Saccharomyces cerevisiae S288C: one gene and its partners. The protein of the gene in region 1 binds, or shares a complex with, the protein of each later gene. Each region holds a gene or a part of one and is shown in the gene's direction. Other genes may lie near its edges.

What was found.
Region 2: ORC1 (region 1) and ORC2 share a complex: the UniProt entries of both Saccharomyces cerevisiae proteins name them as parts of the origin recognition complex.
Region 3: the proteins of ORC1 (region 1) and SIR1 are in contact, whole or in part, in a crystal structure (PDB 1ZHI), measured with the Saccharomyces cerevisiae proteins. Residues at the interface, in NP_013646.1 of Saccharomyces cerevisiae: Glu61 (codon at 2,106), Ala62 (codon at 2,109), Ala63 (codon at 2,112), Gly64 (codon at 2,115), Thr65 (codon at 2,118), Tyr66 (codon at 2,121), Arg92 (codon at 2,199), Trp93 (codon at 2,202), Phe94 (codon at 2,205), Val96 (codon at 2,211), Pro98 (codon at 2,217), Leu116 (codon at 2,271), Asn117 (codon at 2,274), Asn120 (codon at 2,283), Lys121 (codon at 2,286), Ser124 (codon at 2,295), Glu125 (codon at 2,298); in NP_013027.4 of Saccharomyces cerevisiae: Glu463 (codon at 3,332), Glu464 (codon at 3,335), Tyr465 (codon at 3,338), Val466 (codon at 3,341), Ser467 (codon at 3,344), Pro468 (codon at 3,347), Arg469 (codon at 3,350), Leu480 (codon at 3,383), Ala481 (codon at 3,386), Glu482 (codon at 3,389), Arg492 (codon at 3,419), Thr495 (codon at 3,428), Leu496 (codon at 3,431), His500 (codon at 3,443), Met504 (codon at 3,455).
Region 4: ORC1 (region 1) and ORC4 share a complex: the UniProt entries of both Saccharomyces cerevisiae proteins name them as parts of the origin recognition complex.

What each region holds. Positions count from the first base shown.
Region 1 is NC_001145.3:140,285-145,512, forward strand, and holds ORC1 (origin recognition complex subunit 1), read left to right. Parts: upstream 1-1,925; coding exon 1,926-4,670; downstream 4,671-5,228. Other genes in the region: SMA2 (Sma2p), read right to left, coding at 140-1,249; Ras family GTPase TEM1, read right to left, coding at 4,855-5,228. UniProt on the Saccharomyces cerevisiae protein: Component of the origin recognition complex (ORC) that binds origins of replication. It has a role in both chromosomal replication and mating type transcriptional silencing. Binds to the ARS consensus sequence (ACS) of origins of replication.
Region 2 is NC_001134.8:360,097-364,068, reverse strand, and holds ORC2 (origin recognition complex subunit 2), read left to right. Parts: upstream 1-1,554; coding exon 1,555-3,417; downstream 3,418-3,972. Other genes in the region: serine/threonine protein kinase AKL1, read left to right, coding at 3,882-3,972. UniProt on the Saccharomyces cerevisiae protein: Component of the origin recognition complex (ORC) that binds origins of replication. It has a role in both chromosomal replication and mating type transcriptional silencing. Binds to the ARS consensus sequence (ACS) of origins of replication.
Region 3 is NC_001143.9:638,595-643,010, forward strand, and holds SIR1 (Sir1p), read left to right. Parts: upstream 1-1,945; coding exon 1,946-3,910; downstream 3,911-4,416. Other genes in the region: SKG1 (Skg1p), read right to left, coding at 307-1,374. UniProt on the Saccharomyces cerevisiae protein: Involved in the establishment, but not the maintenance, of heterochromatic silencing at the cryptic mating-type loci HMR and HML.
Region 4 is NC_001148.4:866,177-870,086, reverse strand, and holds ORC4 (origin recognition complex subunit 4), read left to right. Parts: upstream 1-1,782; coding exon 1,783-3,372; downstream 3,373-3,910. Other genes in the region: TIF3 (Tif3p), read left to right, coding at 132-1,442; cyclin-dependent serine/threonine protein kinase SGV1, read left to right, coding at 3,665-3,910. UniProt on the Saccharomyces cerevisiae protein: Component of the origin recognition complex (ORC) that binds origins of replication. It has a role in both chromosomal replication and mating type transcriptional silencing. Binds to the ARS consensus sequence (ACS) of origins of replication.

The sequences.
Region 1 (5,228 bases):
AATAGAACATTGATAATATCTTTTCAAAGCCTTGACCGAGCGGGAAAAAAGGACGTTATGCAAAAATACTTAATATACTGAAAGGCTGTGTATATGTTTACATATTTACTGTCATTTGAAAAAAAAGTTCTGTGGTGAATTACTTCTCCATCAAGTCTGGAGAAGGGGAGTTAGATGTGTCTTCTGTATACTTATCAGACTTTTTGGGCTTAGCTTTGTAATGATTTGCTGCAAGAAATGCGAGTACCAATAGGACCCACTGGATGGCATACCTGGCGAGCCCCATAATGAACCCACTTCCCACGTTTACTTTTAACAGTTCCCAGCCTGTAGTGTGTACAGCAGCGTTGTCAGATCCTACGTCTGTTACCTCTTCAGGTTCTAATGTTTTCAGTGCAATCAAATATACGATGTTACATAATATTGTCAATGTAGCAATAACAACTAATATTGAACTTGATGACTTCAAAAGCATAGGAAATAAGCGGTGTCGTTTCCCAACACTAAGTGCTCCCCCAAAGGCTGACACTACGCAGATACTGAGGAATCCGACTATTATTTCCAACACTGCAAAGTAAAAAACCATGCCGTTGAACATCATCAGTATAAATGCCAGGTTGACGCCTTTCAGATAGTTTTTTGTTGGTGACACGCCTTTTACATTTGGATCAGGACTGCCAATCAAAGCCTTTGATAGGGCATTTCCTGTGTGCTTGTCGTGTTTCAAAAAATCACGAATAGATGTCAATGCCAAACGGTAGGTCAATACGAGAGAGTCTCCGAATTTTTTGGTTTCATTCGATCGTGTAGTGGAAATGTTACCTAATTGAATCCCGACGTCTCTGACAAGTACTTCAAGTACGTCCATGCCATAATTCTCATTAGAGGTACAATAAACTTTGCTTTTATTACTCCGTTTACAAAATCCAAAATAATTGAGCTCAAAAACCTTATCAGGCTGAAATGTGTCCACCAAATTTTCATCCTCATACACACTTGGATCAGTGAATTCATTCGACCAACCCATGTCAATTGTCAGGTACGAAATCAATCGCAGAAATTCTCTTACACTTGCAATAAACTCATTTGCAGTACTGGATCCTCCAATCACAGTTATAGTAAACTGTGGAGCGCATAACCTAAGTCCCTTAGAGTTCGTACATGTTGTGGCTGGCAGGTAGAGGACAAATTGTGATAAACTTAAAATCAATAGAACACCCCACACAATCAGACGTTTAGGGAATAACATGCTCGCCCTTTTATATTATGACAGAAAGAATATATATATTCATATATAACATGCTTCTATTTATTAGTTTTATCTTTTAATTGATGGATGTGTCCATAGAATTTAAGTAAGTGCATGGTATGGAGTGTATAATGGTTTATAATTTCCCCTAAGATGACACAAAAAAATGTTCTCCCAAAAATTTACCAAGAAAAAAAATTAAGAATACTACACAATTGATGCTTGGGTTATTTTAAATATCCGGTACATTCTATTACAAATATGTTTGTACAATGTAAGCCCCTTCATAATGGTCAGTATTAAGATAAGGACTGCTATGGGGCATTTTTTGTCTTACTGGGTATCACAGGATAATAACTTGGCGCCAAATTAGAAAAGATATAAACCTCAAATATTTGAAATTCTTTGGTGACCTGTCTCATCGTTATATCAACAAATATTGCACCAACGAACACCACTACATATGTAACTACTCTCTTCCTCGACTTATTTTTTATTAACGTTGACACGGCCAGATCGAAAATCATAGAAAAACAACAACATTGAGAAGAGATGAAGTTGCGCAAAGGGAAAGAAAACTGCATAGGCGGCAAATTCAGCCTAAAAGTTTCCAGAAGCAGGAACTCATTCCCTATTGATTAATACTCATTACAAAAACCACAATAGAGTAGATAAGATGGCAAAAACGTTGAAGGATTTACAGGGTTGGGAGATAATAACAACTGATGAGCAGGGAAATATAATCGATGGAGGTCAGAAGAGATTACGCCGAAGAGGTGCAAAAACTGAACATTACTTAAAGAGAAGTTCTGATGGAATTAAACTAGGTCGTGGTGATAGTGTAGTCATGCACAACGAAGCCGCTGGGACTTACTCCGTTTATATGATCCAGGAGTTGAGACTTAATACATTAAATAATGTTGTCGAACTCTGGGCTCTCACCTATTTACGATGGTTTGAAGTCAATCCTTTAGCTCATTATAGGCAGTTTAATCCTGACGCTAACATTTTGAATCGTCCTTTAAATTATTACAATAAACTGTTTTCTGAAACTGCAAATAAAAATGAACTGTATCTCACTGCAGAATTAGCCGAATTGCAGCTATTTAACTTTATCAGGGTTGCCAACGTAATGGATGGAAGCAAATGGGAAGTATTGAAAGGAAATGTCGATCCAGAAAGAGACTTTACAGTTCGTTATATTTGTGAGCCGACTGGGGAGAAATTTGTGGACATTAATATTGAGGATGTCAAAGCTTACATAAAGAAAGTGGAGCCAAGGGAAGCCCAGGAATATTTGAAAGATTTAACACTTCCATCAAAGAAGAAAGAGATCAAAAGAGGTCCTCAAAAGAAAGATAAGGCTACTCAAACGGCACAAATTTCAGACGCAGAAACAAGAGCTACAGATATAACGGATAATGAGGACGGTAATGAAGATGAATCATCTGATTATGAAAGTCCGTCAGATATCGACGTTAGCGAGGATATGGACAGCGGTGAAATATCCGCAGATGAGCTTGAGGAAGAAGAAGACGAAGAAGAAGACGAAGACGAAGAAGAGAAAGAAGCTAGGCATACAAATTCACCAAGGAAAAGAGGCCGTAAGATAAAACTAGGTAAAGATGATATTGACGCTTCTGTACAACCTCCCCCCAAAAAAAGAGGTCGTAAACCTAAAGATCCTAGTAAACCGCGTCAGATGCTATTGATATCTTCATGCCGTGCAAATAATACTCCTGTGATTAGGAAATTTACAAAAAAGAATGTTGCTAGGGCGAAAAAGAAATATACCCCGTTTTCGAAAAGATTTAAATCTATAGCTGCAATACCAGATTTAACTTCATTACCTGAATTTTACGGAAATTCTTCGGAATTGATGGCATCAAGGTTTGAAAACAAATTAAAAACAACCCAAAAGCATCAGATTGTAGAAACAATTTTTTCTAAAGTCAAAAAACAGTTGAACTCTTCGTATGTCAAAGAAGAAATATTGAAGTCTGCAAATTTCCAAGATTATTTACCGGCTAGGGAGAATGAATTCGCCTCAATTTATTTAAGTGCATATAGTGCCATTGAGTCCGACTCCGCTACTACTATATACGTGGCTGGTACGCCTGGTGTAGGGAAAACTTTAACCGTAAGGGAAGTCGTAAAGGAACTACTATCGTCTTCTGCACAACGAGAAATACCAGACTTTCTTTATGTGGAAATAAATGGATTGAAAATGGTAAAACCCACAGACTGTTACGAAACTTTATGGAACAAAGTGTCAGGAGAAAGGTTAACATGGGCAGCTTCAATGGAGTCACTAGAGTTTTACTTTAAAAGAGTTCCAAAAAATAAGAAGAAAACCATTGTAGTCTTGTTGGACGAACTCGATGCCATGGTAACGAAATCTCAAGATATTATGTACAATTTTTTCAATTGGACTACTTACGAAAATGCCAAACTTATTGTCATTGCAGTAGCCAATACAATGGACTTACCAGAACGTCAGCTAGGCAATAAGATTACTTCAAGAATTGGGTTTACCAGAATTATGTTCACTGGGTATACGCACGAAGAGCTAAAAAATATCATTGATTTAAGACTGAAGGGGTTGAACGACTCATTTTTCTATGTTGATACAAAAACTGGCAATGCTATTTTGATTGATGCGGCTGGAAACGACACTACAGTTAAGCAAACGTTGCCTGAAGACGTGAGGAAAGTTCGCTTAAGAATGAGTGCTGATGCCATTGAAATAGCTTCGAGAAAAGTAGCAAGTGTTAGTGGTGATGCAAGAAGAGCATTGAAGGTTTGTAAAAGAGCAGCTGAAATTGCTGAAAAACACTATATGGCTAAGCATGGTTATGGATATGATGGAAAGACGGTTATTGAAGATGAAAATGAGGAGCAAATATACGATGATGAAGACAAGGATCTTATTGAAAGTAACAAAGCCAAAGACGATAATGATGACGATGATGACAATGATGGGGTACAAACAGTTCACATCACGCACGTTATGAAAGCCTTAAACGAAACTTTAAATTCTCATGTAATTACGTTTATGACGCGACTTTCATTTACAGCAAAACTGTTTATTTATGCATTATTAAACTTGATGAAAAAGAACGGATCTCAAGAGCAAGAACTGGGCGATATTGTCGATGAAATCAAGTTACTTATTGAAGTAAATGGCAGTAATAAGTTTGTCATGGAGATAGCCAAAACATTGTTCCAACAGGGAAGTGATAATATTTCTGAACAATTGAGAATTATATCATGGGATTTCGTTCTCAATCAGTTACTTGACGCGGGAATATTGTTTAAACAAACTATGAAGAACGATAGAATATGTTGTGTCAAGCTAAATATATCAGTAGAAGAAGCCAAAAGAGCCATGAATGAGGATGAGACATTGAGAAATTTATAGATTCGGTTTTTATTATTCATGACCTAGCATACACATACATATACCTACATAGTAGCGCATTTATCCAAAACATACGATATTGTGGATGTACATACCTTCTATATCTCCTTAAAGCTATTGTGTAGCTTGATTTAAAATATGCTAACGCCAACTCTCACATGGTAGCAGGCGGGTATAGTTGTTTTCATGTATTAACGCCCGGCGATGGTGCCTTAGATGAGGGCGACGAGGAGGGCTTCCTGATATTATGGCTCTTTCTATCCTGACTTTTGTTATGATGTCGATGTTGCTGGCCACCTAGGTGCTTATATATCAAAAGAGGATCGCCGATTTCATTGATTTCTGGGATGGTTAATGTCAAATTAAAGATCTTTGCCAGTGCAATTTTGAAAATTTTTTGAATGTTTATAGATTTGGCAGTAGAGCAGAATATAAGAGGAGCATTCATGACCTGTGCATACTTCATACTCGTTCTCGAGATTTGTTCCTGATATTCCGGGTCTAAGTCTATTAGTAAATCGTACTTTGTGCCCACCAAAATAGGAATTGCCGAATCAT
Region 2 (3,972 bases), on another chromosome or scaffold:
TCTCAACGGCAGCAAGTGCTCAGCAGATGGAAATTATACGTTAATACTTTTTCCAATGTGATATAACGAAAAATTAGATACTGTGAATTGTGTTTGCCACCTTGATGTTGACTTAGTATTTCCTCTCGGTTGTAAAAGCCAAGAAGGTTTGACTGTTCGTCAATTAAGGTTCTTACGTGGGTTGTGCTAGATACGACGCGAATCAGTATGGTTTCTATCTGCCAATCATATCGGTTCTCTTCCATGGGCTAGAACAGATGAATTCTAGCTCTTTTTTAGCTGGACCAGTAAGGTTCAAATGGTATTTGATAATAGAGAATCACATATCTCCTTGTCCATTTCTGAAAGTATTAATTCAGTCATATCCAACTAGTCACAAACATCCGCATAGGCTTGATAAAACTCACAAGTGGCAGATTCCGAATTATGTGTCATATTGGGGTCATATTAGGACCTTCATTTCAGAATTGCTTCTGCTCCAATAAACTTTTTTTGATCCAAAAATCGTCTGATATAACGGGCGATGTCAATTGAATAATAAAACGGGTTCTATCTATTTTCTTGATCTTTGAAACCAAAACAGTTAGCAGGCAAGTGCAAACAAGTTGTCAATTGCACTCTGTTAACGAAAAAAATATATCTCATCTCCGCCGGTCTTCTTTGGTGGATATATATTACTCCTCCTTAAAGGTCATGCTCCTTTTTATGGGTTCTCGTCGTAATAATCCTGAAATTGTAAAATAATTTAGAGCTCAACACCACCATTGAGAACGTAGAATTTCAATTTTTAAGCTGATTCTCTTTCTGCATGAACTCTCCTAGCAATGTGAAACTTCTCTTAAGGGAAATTTTCGCCTTTTTGAATGGGCATACTTGGCCAAAAATTCAGGATTGAATATATATAATCGGAACTTGTATGGATAAAAATTTATATCAAGAGTCTGTTTCTTAATTGGATTTGCTGTGATCTAGTATTGAGATGACTATAAACCGGCCAGGAAATTAGTCTTTTCGAAGCTGGTTTTGGTTTCGCAAGAGTCTTTTTGACAGCTTTTTGGCCTCAATTTGTATTCCCTTAATACGCTTCTTCAACTCTGTCTTAGAGACCATTTCTCCAGTGGCCTCATCTAGGTGTAAACTAGCAATAGCGTCACTAGCTGCCGTGACATTAACTTGCTGTGGCACCTTTATATGTAATATGAACCATCTTTCAATGGATCATAAGAATAAGTGTCGTAAAAGGCCAAATATCCATGCATAAATATCGACTTATTCGCGTAAATGTGATATGGATCAGCTAGTACCAATTTCTAGTCTAGCAAAATCGGGAAAATTTTTCAGAACACCCACTCACCGCATCATTGAGGTGGAAATGACAATAGTAAGCAGAATTGTTATTCTTCACAATGTGTAAAAGTTATAAAGAAATAGGAACCACCTTTAAATTAAGACAAAGTAGAATATATTAGCTGAAATTGTATTTGATAATTGATCATTGATCTTATTTGCTATATCTTTAAAACAAGTTTTTGTAGTACTGCGAATTGCCATAACATGCTAAATGGGGAAGACTTTGTAGAGCATAATGATATCCTATCGTCTCCGGCAAAAAGCAGGAATGTAACCCCAAAAAGGGTTGACCCACATGGAGAAAGACAACTGAGAAGAATTCATTCATCAAAGAAGAATTTGTTGGAAAGAATCTCGCTTGTAGGCAACGAAAGGAAAAATACATCTCCAGATCCGGCACTCAAACCTAAAACGCCAAGTAAAGCTCCCCGTAAACGTGGAAGACCAAGAAAGATACAGGAAGAATTAACTGATAGGATCAAGAAGGATGAGAAAGATACAATTTCCTCTAAGAAAAAGAGGAAATTGGACAAAGATACATCAGGTAATGTCAATGAGGAAAGCAAGACTTCTAACAACAAGCAGGTGATGGAAAAGACGGGGATAAAAGAGAAAAGAGAACGCGAAAAAATACAGGTAGCGACCACAACATATGAAGATAATGTGACTCCACAAACTGATGATAATTTTGTATCAAATTCACCCGAGCCACCAGAACCTGCAACACCATCTAAGAAGTCTTTAACCACTAATCATGATTTTACTTCGCCCCTAAAGCAAATTATAATGAATAATTTAAAAGAATATAAAGACTCAACCTCCCCAGGTAAATTAACCTTGAGTAGAAATTTTACTCCAACCCCTGTACCGAAAAATAAAAAGCTCTACCAAACTTCGGAAACCAAGTCAGCAAGCTCGTTTTTGGATACTTTTGAAGGATATTTCGACCAAAGAAAAATTGTCAGAACTAATGCGAAGTCAAGGCACACCATGTCAATGGCACCTGACGTTACCAGAGAAGAGTTTTCCCTAGTATCAAACTTTTTCAACGAAAATTTTCAAAAACGTCCCAGGCAAAAGTTATTTGAAATTCAGAAAAAAATGTTTCCCCAGTATTGGTTTGAATTGACTCAAGGATTCTCCTTATTATTTTATGGTGTAGGTTCGAAACGTAATTTTTTGGAAGAGTTTGCCATTGACTACTTGTCTCCGAAAATCGCGTACTCGCAACTGGCTTATGAGAATGAATTACAACAAAACAAACCTGTAAATTCCATCCCATGCCTTATTTTAAATGGTTACAACCCTAGCTGTAACTATCGTGACGTCTTCAAAGAGATTACCGATCTTTTGGTCCCCGCTGAGTTGACAAGAAGCGAAACTAAGTACTGGGGCAATCATGTGATTTTGCAGATCCAAAAGATGATTGATTTCTACAAAAATCAACCTTTAGATATCAAATTAATACTTGTAGTGCATAATCTGGATGGTCCTAGCATAAGGAAAAACACTTTTCAGACGATGCTAAGCTTCCTCTCCGTCATCAGACAAATCGCCATAGTCGCCTCTACAGACCACATTTACGCTCCGCTCCTCTGGGACAACATGAAGGCCCAAAACTACAACTTTGTCTTTCATGATATTTCGAATTTTGAACCGTCGACAGTCGAGTCTACGTTCCAAGATGTGATGAAGATGGGTAAAAGCGATACCAGCAGTGGTGCTGAAGGTGCGAAATACGTCTTACAATCACTTACTGTGAACTCCAAGAAGATGTATAAGTTGCTTATTGAAACACAAATGCAGAATATGGGGAATCTATCCGCTAACACAGGTCCTAAGCGTGGTACTCAAAGAACTGGAGTAGAACTTAAACTTTTCAACCATCTCTGTGCCGCTGATTTTATTGCTTCTAATGAGATAGCTCTAAGGTCGATGCTTAGAGAATTCATAGAACATAAAATGGCCAACATAACTAAGAACAATTCTGGAATGGAAATTATTTGGGTACCCTACACGTATGCGGAACTTGAAAAACTTCTGAAAACCGTTTTAAATACTCTATAAATGTATACATATCACGAACAATTGTAATAGTACTAGGCTTGCTAGCTTTGCTTTCCCATAACCAACAATACTTAGTGATGTATCTTAAAACGACTAAAAAACTTCTCATATAACCCTACTGAAAAACGTCTGATGAGCTCTTCGAAAATTCAGACGAGTTATGACCTATATTTGTTTTTCATTTTTTTTAGGTGAACCCCGCCATTCTGAAAATGCCCTATTCAGAGCTCAATAACCGAAAAAACTTAAAAATACTGAATAAAAGCCATAATCCTATGAACCCCCTTTCTTGAATGAGTAAATTCAATAGCATTGTTGAATCAGAATCGGTGCCTCGGGAGCATAAGCAACACAGGACATCATAGAGATAATTTTAGTTGCCATTCATTTTTTGCTATTACGTTTTCCCAAGCTCTTGTTTTCGTCCCTGTCGCCTGTTATTTTCTTTCTAATTAGCACTGATCATGTCGATCACGAATGGTACTTCTAGAAGCGTTTCGGCAATGGGCCATCCGGCGGTAGAGAGGTACACTCCAGGCCATATTGTCTGCGTAG
Region 3 (4,416 bases), on another chromosome or scaffold:
TAAGTCATTGTAGCAACATAATTTCCTGGAAATTTTAAGGGAATATATTTCTTTCCGCCCACAAACACAAAGGGCGTTTAGTAAATTATGCGGCGATGTATAAAAGAGAAAGCAGGCAAAAAGAAAATGAAAAATGAGACTATGAACTTTAAGAATTATGTCTTGACTAATTTTTTAAAACCCATCATCCATGAAGAGTTCTGTTTGTATTGTTTACGTTTGATGTTTGAAGTGAATTTAATAGAATTGTTCCTCTTTTTTTCTTCTTTTTTTAACTATAATATAATGTTTAGTATATCAACAGTACTATTTAGGCCTTAGACTTTCTATGAACTCTCTCTTACTCTGTGAGTAGTTGGTAAATTCGTTTTCGTATTGATCTTCCTCAGCAATTTCCCCGATATTGCCCACATCATAGTTATTCTGTAATTTGTATAAATCCTTATCTTTATCTGTTATTGCAGACCTGCTATCCTTTACCGAGTGGTCAGCATCCATTCCTTCGTTATCTTTATCAAAAGTGTTTGGTAACTGTGATTGAGCCGCACTTTTGGGTGTTGCAAACACATCCTCTAGGGCATCGCGCTTATTTACCGATGTTATAGAGGAATTCCTTGTATGGAAGGACGCGTTTGAAATGTTACCATTTAAAAACGAGGATGAAGCTCTCCTTGGGTAATACGAACCAAAGTCCTGATTCTGCAAATTTCTTATCAGATTTTCATTACTAGATTGGCGAGTATTATGTTTAAGTTCTATCATCGAAGCTTTGTTTTGGTCATTGCTAGTATTAGTATCACTGGAAGGATCTGCGAAAAAGTTTGGTCCTTCATCAGAAATAACAGGGACCATCTGATCATAAACGCTGATCTGTCTCTTTGTTATATGCCGTTGGGAAGATGATAAGGAAACATTGGAGCTGTTATTTATACTTGGTAAATCCACAACGGACTTCTGCCTGGCATTATTGCCGTAGTTATTATTTCGTACTTGAAGTAAATTTATTTTCCTACGGTATGCTGGCACATAGTATTTACTATTCTTTTTCCCTAACGGTTTCTCTTGATCTCGCGATTTTCCATCTTTTTCTTCTGGATGAGCAGATCCTTCCGATGAACCAGAAGTGTGATCAGGATTTTTTAGCTCGGAGCTGGCTAGTGCTGCTTCATCTTTACTGTCTCTTAAGGGTCCAAAATTGTCAAAGGACACGAAACCACTTTCATCATAAATAGCCCTTTCCAATTCTCTATCGTCTTGTTCCTCCCTCTTGTATCTTTTTTGTAGGTTAAACCAGAAACATACTGCTATTATAATACCTACACCGACGGGTATACCCACCGCACAACCCACCGCAACTGATGTGCTGGCAGTCATCTCTTTTACTTCTTACTACGATGAGCTCCCAAAAAAAAAATATATCCCTGATAAATAACACAAAACTAAGAAGCCGGACCTAGGTGAAGAGTAAAATAAGGACTCGAAATTTTGTCTAATACTCAATAACTCAGTACAAAAACTGCCTCACAGTATAAAATATCCAACTTAGAGATATTCGTTTTAATTGTCCCGAGCAGGCAAACGATAACTGATCCTTAGTCACAATAATAAGTCTATGCTTTCTGTTGAAAAAGAACAAATAGCGAGCGAGTCAGCAAGCAGAATCTAAAGAGGCTTGCAACGAATGGTAGGCAAAGAATTTCTAACCCGAAACCTCAAGCGAATGGTGGATTCCTTACTTCCAATCTTCTAAAAGTCTTTAACTCTGATTTCGAGGATCAGTACTTTTTCTATGGTTTATTAATATCGGCCTCGAAAAGTTTGTCGCGAGAATTTGGGCACATGTGACCCGGAATGTATATTGAGTAATATAAGAATGAGAACAATAATGTCAATAATCACACGTCGTTATAAGCAGCTGAAAAATTATAAGATAATATCAAAAAAAATGCTACAGATCAACTCCAGGCTTGCAGTTATTGATGGATGGCTGGTAGACACTGTGAAGCGAAAACCAATAAATTTTCGGAGTCCTGAAGTAAGATTACTGTTACCCAATGACGATGACTACAAAAAGCTATCACAACAAAACTTGGTGGACTGGACGCGATTAAAGAAGGATTCTAATTCGGTGCTCGTTGGAGTGAAATCTATGGAACTATTTAAACACATAAAGCTAGTTTTGCGAGAGTTTTTCTTGTTAGAAGATGGAAGAATAATTCTGAAGAGGATCAGAAGCAAATTACGTTACAAAGTTGTCAAGAAATTAACTTGTAAATGCTGCAGGTTATATTTACCAAAATGGGGCACCGTGTACATACATCCGATGCTAAAAGATAAAGAAAAGCCCTTAGCGGGGGTATGTGAATTTTCATTGGATGTAAACCCTGATCGGGAGTATCCCCTTATTGAGATCAATGTTAGTCATCAATACATTATAATTGAGGGCTTCCTTCTATACTTAAATGAAAGGAGGCTCTATAGGTGGAACGATAACAATTTGAGGAGTCAGGTTGGCTTAACAAAATGGGCCCATTTAAGAAAAACTTACAATCCGGTAAGCCTTGACATACTTTATAGTTTGAATTCAAATTTTTATTTTGTAAAGGATGATCTGCTATTTCAATTATTAGGAAAGAGGGTATTTGTTAAATTTTGTAAAGTAATGGAAAATGGAAAATGCGGTAAGGCTCCACTGTGGTATCGTGTGAAGAGAACGACAACTGCCAAAGCAACACATATTGCATATGCCATATCAAATTCAACAGCCCCAGATTCATTCAAAAGTAAAAATAACGATTATAGGTTTATTGTCAGGGAAAAGCCAATTGTGGAGAATACTATCTCCAACCTGGATTATTCAGACATAAAAAAACAGCAGTTTACTGAAGCAGAGGTTGTAAAAAGAAAGATCTCAGCAGATATTTCTCAAATAGAGAATGTGCATACGCAATTTAATAGTCAAAAGGAAAAAAATAATATCAGGGTGAATAAGGTTTCTAGCGAGGTCCTAGATCAAATTTCGAAATTTCCTGTGTCCAGAGTCACCTTACTGTTGATGTCTGCTGGTCAAGATAAAAATTATATTGAACTTGTTGAAGAATTGGCAAGAAGGTTGGAAAAAATATGCATAGAAAAAACCACACAATCTTTAGAAGAGATAAGGGATACTTTTCAGGCGAATCCTGAGATGCAGGCTAGCTTTGATAAGGAATATTACCAGAGCATTGAAGAATATAAAATTACACTCGAACTTATTAAGGAAGACCTTTTGATTACTCTGATAAAACAAATGGAAAATATGTGGGCAGCTGAAAAAAAGTTTAGTACAGAGGAGGAGTATGTTTCGCCGAGGTTTTTAGTAGCAGATGGATTTCTAATCGACCTAGCAGAGGAAAAACCGATTAACCCAAAGGATCCGCGCTTACTGACACTGCTAAAAGATCATCAGCGTGCCATGATTGACCAAATGAATTTAGTTAAGTGGAATGACTTCAAAAAATATCAAGATCCTATCCCGCTGAAAGCCAAAACCTTATTTAAATTTTGTAAACAAATAAAGAAAAAATTCCTACGAGGTGCGGACTTCAAGTTACATACATTACCTACAGAAGCAAATTTAAAGTATGAGCCGGAGCGGATGACAGTTTTGTGTTCCTGTGTCCCTATTCTTTTGGATGACCAAACTGTCCAATATCTGTATGATGACAGCATTATTCCTGAATTTGAAGCAACATCTTCATATGCAACAAAGCAGTCAAAGTGTGGGCGGAAAATGTCTTTGCAAATGGAGCCTGACCTCCTTTTTCAAGAGGCCATTAGACGGATGCGACATTTAACTGCTTATGACGTTTTGAGAAGAAACTATATTGCGGCATTTGAGGAGCTATATATGGGAAACTGTAACGATTAAATAGTTGGTAAGATTATCAGTTATGGATACCAACATATAAGCGGGTGATGTCTCATTTCAATGAGGTCAGATAACTGGTACAGTTTCGCCTTTAATACACTTGTTTGACAGAAACTTGTTTTTAATTGCTTGATTAGCTAAGTAACTCGAGCCGTACTGTAGTACCGTTAAATATATATTATGTAGGACTTAGTAGAATATACTAATAATAGATACTGCAATTGATGATCCCAATTACTGTTTTATTGACTAACTTTCACTGAAATGTTTTCATTCTCTGATTTTATATTTAGTTGGCGAACTAGCTCATCCTAATTATAATTAAACTTATATATAGCATAAACCGACAATAATGCGTGGGTGGTCCTCCATGCCGAATTTGTGAACTGAATTATTATCTAAGCACTGGATCGATCACCTTAAGATGATATATTATTTATAACTAAAACGCAGCAGCATTACACTCCAGAGTAACTCCTGAATTTCGTCATGGCATGTACTTATAC
Region 4 (3,910 bases), on another chromosome or scaffold:
AGAAGAGATAGATATAACTACAGAGTTAGAGAAGATCAGTAGACCAATAAGCGGGATTATCATAAAACTCGAGTTTATATTAGCTTTCATCTGTCTTTAGGAAAATAATACCATAATAAAAAGGACACATCATGGCTCCACCAAAGAAAACCGTAAAGAAGATGGACCTTACGTCATTTTTAAATGATGACACCTTTGGTTCATCTTGGGCTGAAGAAGATGTCGATTTGAATAAGATCACAATTCCTATTGAAACCGCTAATGCAAACACTATTCCATTGTCCGAATTGGCTCATGCTAAAAACAACAGCAATAACACGCGTTCAGGCGGCTTTGGTGGCAGTTTTGGAGGTAGATCTAGATTAGACCCTGCTTTGGGGGGCGGTTCTTCCGATAGAAGAGAGGAATACCCTGTTCCAGATGCTCCACCATATAGGGCTGTCATAAACAACATTCCATGGGATATTACCCCAGAGGGTGTTCAAGCCTGGGTTGAAGATGGTTTAGTTAAGCCTGAAGCGGTTGAAGAAGTTGTTTTGCCAAAGAATCTAAGAGACCCAACAAGATTAAAGGGTAATGCTTTCGTTACTTTGAAAGAAAGAGCAGATTTGGTCGCCGTTCTGAAGTTCAACGGTACTAAATTGAATGAGAGAACTGTTTACGTTTCTGTTGCGGCTCCAAGAAGAGGGGGAGGTGCAGATGTTGATTGGAGTAGTGCTAGAGGCTCCAATTTCCAAGGTGATGGAAGAGAAGATGCACCAGATCTTGATTGGGGTGCCGCTAGAGGTTCTAACTTCAGAGGTCCAAGAAGAGAAAGAGAAGAAGTTGATATTGACTGGACTGCTGCAAGAGGTTCCAATTTCCAAGGCTCTTCCAGACCACCAAGAAGAGAAAGAGAAGAAGTTGATATCGACTGGAGCGCTGCAAGAGGCTCCAATTTCCAAGGCTCTTCCAGACCACCAAGAAGAGAAAGAGAAGAGCCAGATATTGACTGGAGTGCAGCTAGAGGCTCTAACTTTCAAAGCTCCTCGAGGCCACCAAGAAGAGAAAGAGAAGAGCCAGATATTGACTGGAGTGCAGCCAGAGGTTCCAACTTCCAAAGCTCCTCAAGACCACCAAGAAGAGAAAGAGAAAAGGAAGAACCAGCTTTGGATTGGGGTGCTGCCAGAGGTGCTCAGTTTGGTAAGCCTCAACAAACCAAAAATACCTACAAGGATAGGTCTCTAACTAACAAAAAGACTACTGATGAGCAACCAAAAATCCAGAAGTCTGTTTATGATGTTTTACGTACTGAAGATGATGATGAAGATGAAGAGGCTGAAAAGCAAAATGGAGACGCAAAAGAAAACAAAGTTGATGCGGCAGTTGAAAAGCTACAGGATAAAACTGCTCAATTGACTGTTGAAGATGGTGACAATTGGGAAGTTGTTGGTAAGAAATAGAGTGTTGTATGATGATAAAATGTACATTTGTATTTACTGTTTGCTTTTTTTCTTTCTTGTTTTTCTACTCTCCTTTCTACCAGGTATTCTAACTCTATTATATAATTAAAAAAAAAATAACCATATATTTTGTATTAAGTTTCATACATGTGTTCAAGTGTATTTTTGGATTTATCATTTTTCTATGTGAGGTAAGTTTTTGAATGTCCCATTTTCCTTTCGTTTTTGGAAAGTTCTAAGAAAAAGCATTAACAATTAAAAAAAAAAAAAAAATCTAAATAATACTGATAGAAATATCAAATATAAACTACTAATATCGGTAATATTCAAAAGAAGAAGCATGACTATAAGCGAAGCTCGTCTATCACCGCAAGTCAATCTTCTCCCAATAAAGAGGCACTCAAACGAAGAGGTAGAGGAGACTGCAGCGATTCTAAAAAAGCGTACTATAGATAATGAAAAGTGTAAAGACAGCGACCCTGGTTTTGGTTCCCTTCAAAGAAGGTTACTGCAGCAACTTTATGGCACACTTCCTACGGACGAAAAGATAATCTTCACATATTTACAAGATTGTCAACAAGAGATCGATAGAATCATTAAACAATCCATTATTCAGAAAGAGAGTCATTCAGTAATTCTCGTGGGGCCCAGACAAAGTTACAAAACATACTTATTAGACTATGAACTGTCTTTGTTGCAACAATCTTATAAAGAGCAGTTTATAACTATCAGGTTGAATGGGTTTATTCACTCCGAACAAACAGCTATTAACGGTATAGCAACTCAATTGGAACAGCAGTTGCAGAAAATTCATGGCAGTGAAGAAAAAATTGACGATACTTCATTAGAGACTATTAGCAGTGGTTCTTTGACAGAAGTGTTTGAGAAAATTCTTTTACTCTTAGATTCGACCACGAAGACAAGAAATGAAGATAGTGGTGAGGTTGACAGAGAGAGTATAACAAAGATAACAGTTGTTTTTATATTCGATGAAATTGATACATTTGCTGGGCCTGTGAGGCAAACTTTATTATACAATCTTTTTGACATGGTAGAACATTCTCGGGTACCTGTTTGCATTTTTGGCTGCACAACGAAATTAAATATCTTGGAATATTTAGAAAAGAGGGTAAAGAGTAGATTTTCTCAAAGAGTGATTTATATGCCGCAAATACAGAATCTAGACGATATGGTTGACGCCGTCAGAAATTTACTTACAGTTCGCTCTGAAATCTCCCCCTGGGTTTCACAATGGAATGAAACGTTGGAAAAAGAACTATCCGACCCTCGATCGAATTTGAATAGACATATTAGGATGAATTTCGAAACCTTTAGGTCATTACCTACATTGAAAAATAGCATAATTCCATTAGTAGCGACATCCAAAAATTTTGGTTCACTCTGCACTGCCATAAAATCGTGTTCTTTTCTTGACATATACAATAAGAACCAACTATCTAATAATTTAACAGGAAGGCTCCAATCTTTATCCGATTTAGAGTTAGCCATTTTGATCTCAGCCGCTAGGGTTGCCTTAAGGGCGAAAGACGGATCTTTTAATTTTAATTTAGCTTATGCAGAGTATGAAAAGATGATTAAAGCTATCAACTCCAGAATTCCCACCGTGGCTCCTACTACAAATGTGGGAACAGGTCAAAGTACTTTTTCTATCGACAATACTATCAAACTATGGTTGAAAAAGGACGTCAAGAACGTTTGGGAAAATTTAGTGCAACTGGATTTTTTTACCGAGAAATCAGCCGTTGGTTTGAGAGATAATGCGACCGCAGCATTTTACGCTAGCAATTATCAATTTCAGGGCACCATGATCCCGTTTGACTTGAGAAGTTACCAGATGCAGATCATTCTTCAGGAATTAAGAAGAATTATCCCCAAATCTAATATGTACTACTCCTGGACACAACTGTGAATCTTGGGAACAATATACAGACATTTTATTGGCGGTAGCAACTCTGATATTCCACTGTTCAGCTTTCCTAATAAGTAAGTTCAAGATTATGTGGTCATCGCGTCGAACGGAAATACACCCATACACCAAACCTCTGTGAATTTGAAAAATTCACATATGCATTTAATAGAGCATAGGCAATGTAGAGAGAGAAATTAACAATGGTGAAAAGAAATATTACCAAACACCAGCAAAAGAAATTGTATAGTATTAGCAGTACATTCGTGGTCAAGCAGAATAACAGTAAAATAATATGAGTGATAATGGTTCCCCCGCGGTTCTTCCAAAAACCGAATTTAATAAATACAAAATCGGCAAAGTGAAGAGTACACCAGCCATCCAGCGAGATGCGAAGACTAACTTAACATACATCAAACTAAGAAAAAGAAGTAGTGAGAAAGTTTACGGGTGTACAGTTTTCCAGAATCATTATCGTGAGGATGAAAAATTAGGACAAGGAACATTTGGTGAGGTTTATAAGGGAATTCATTTAGAGACT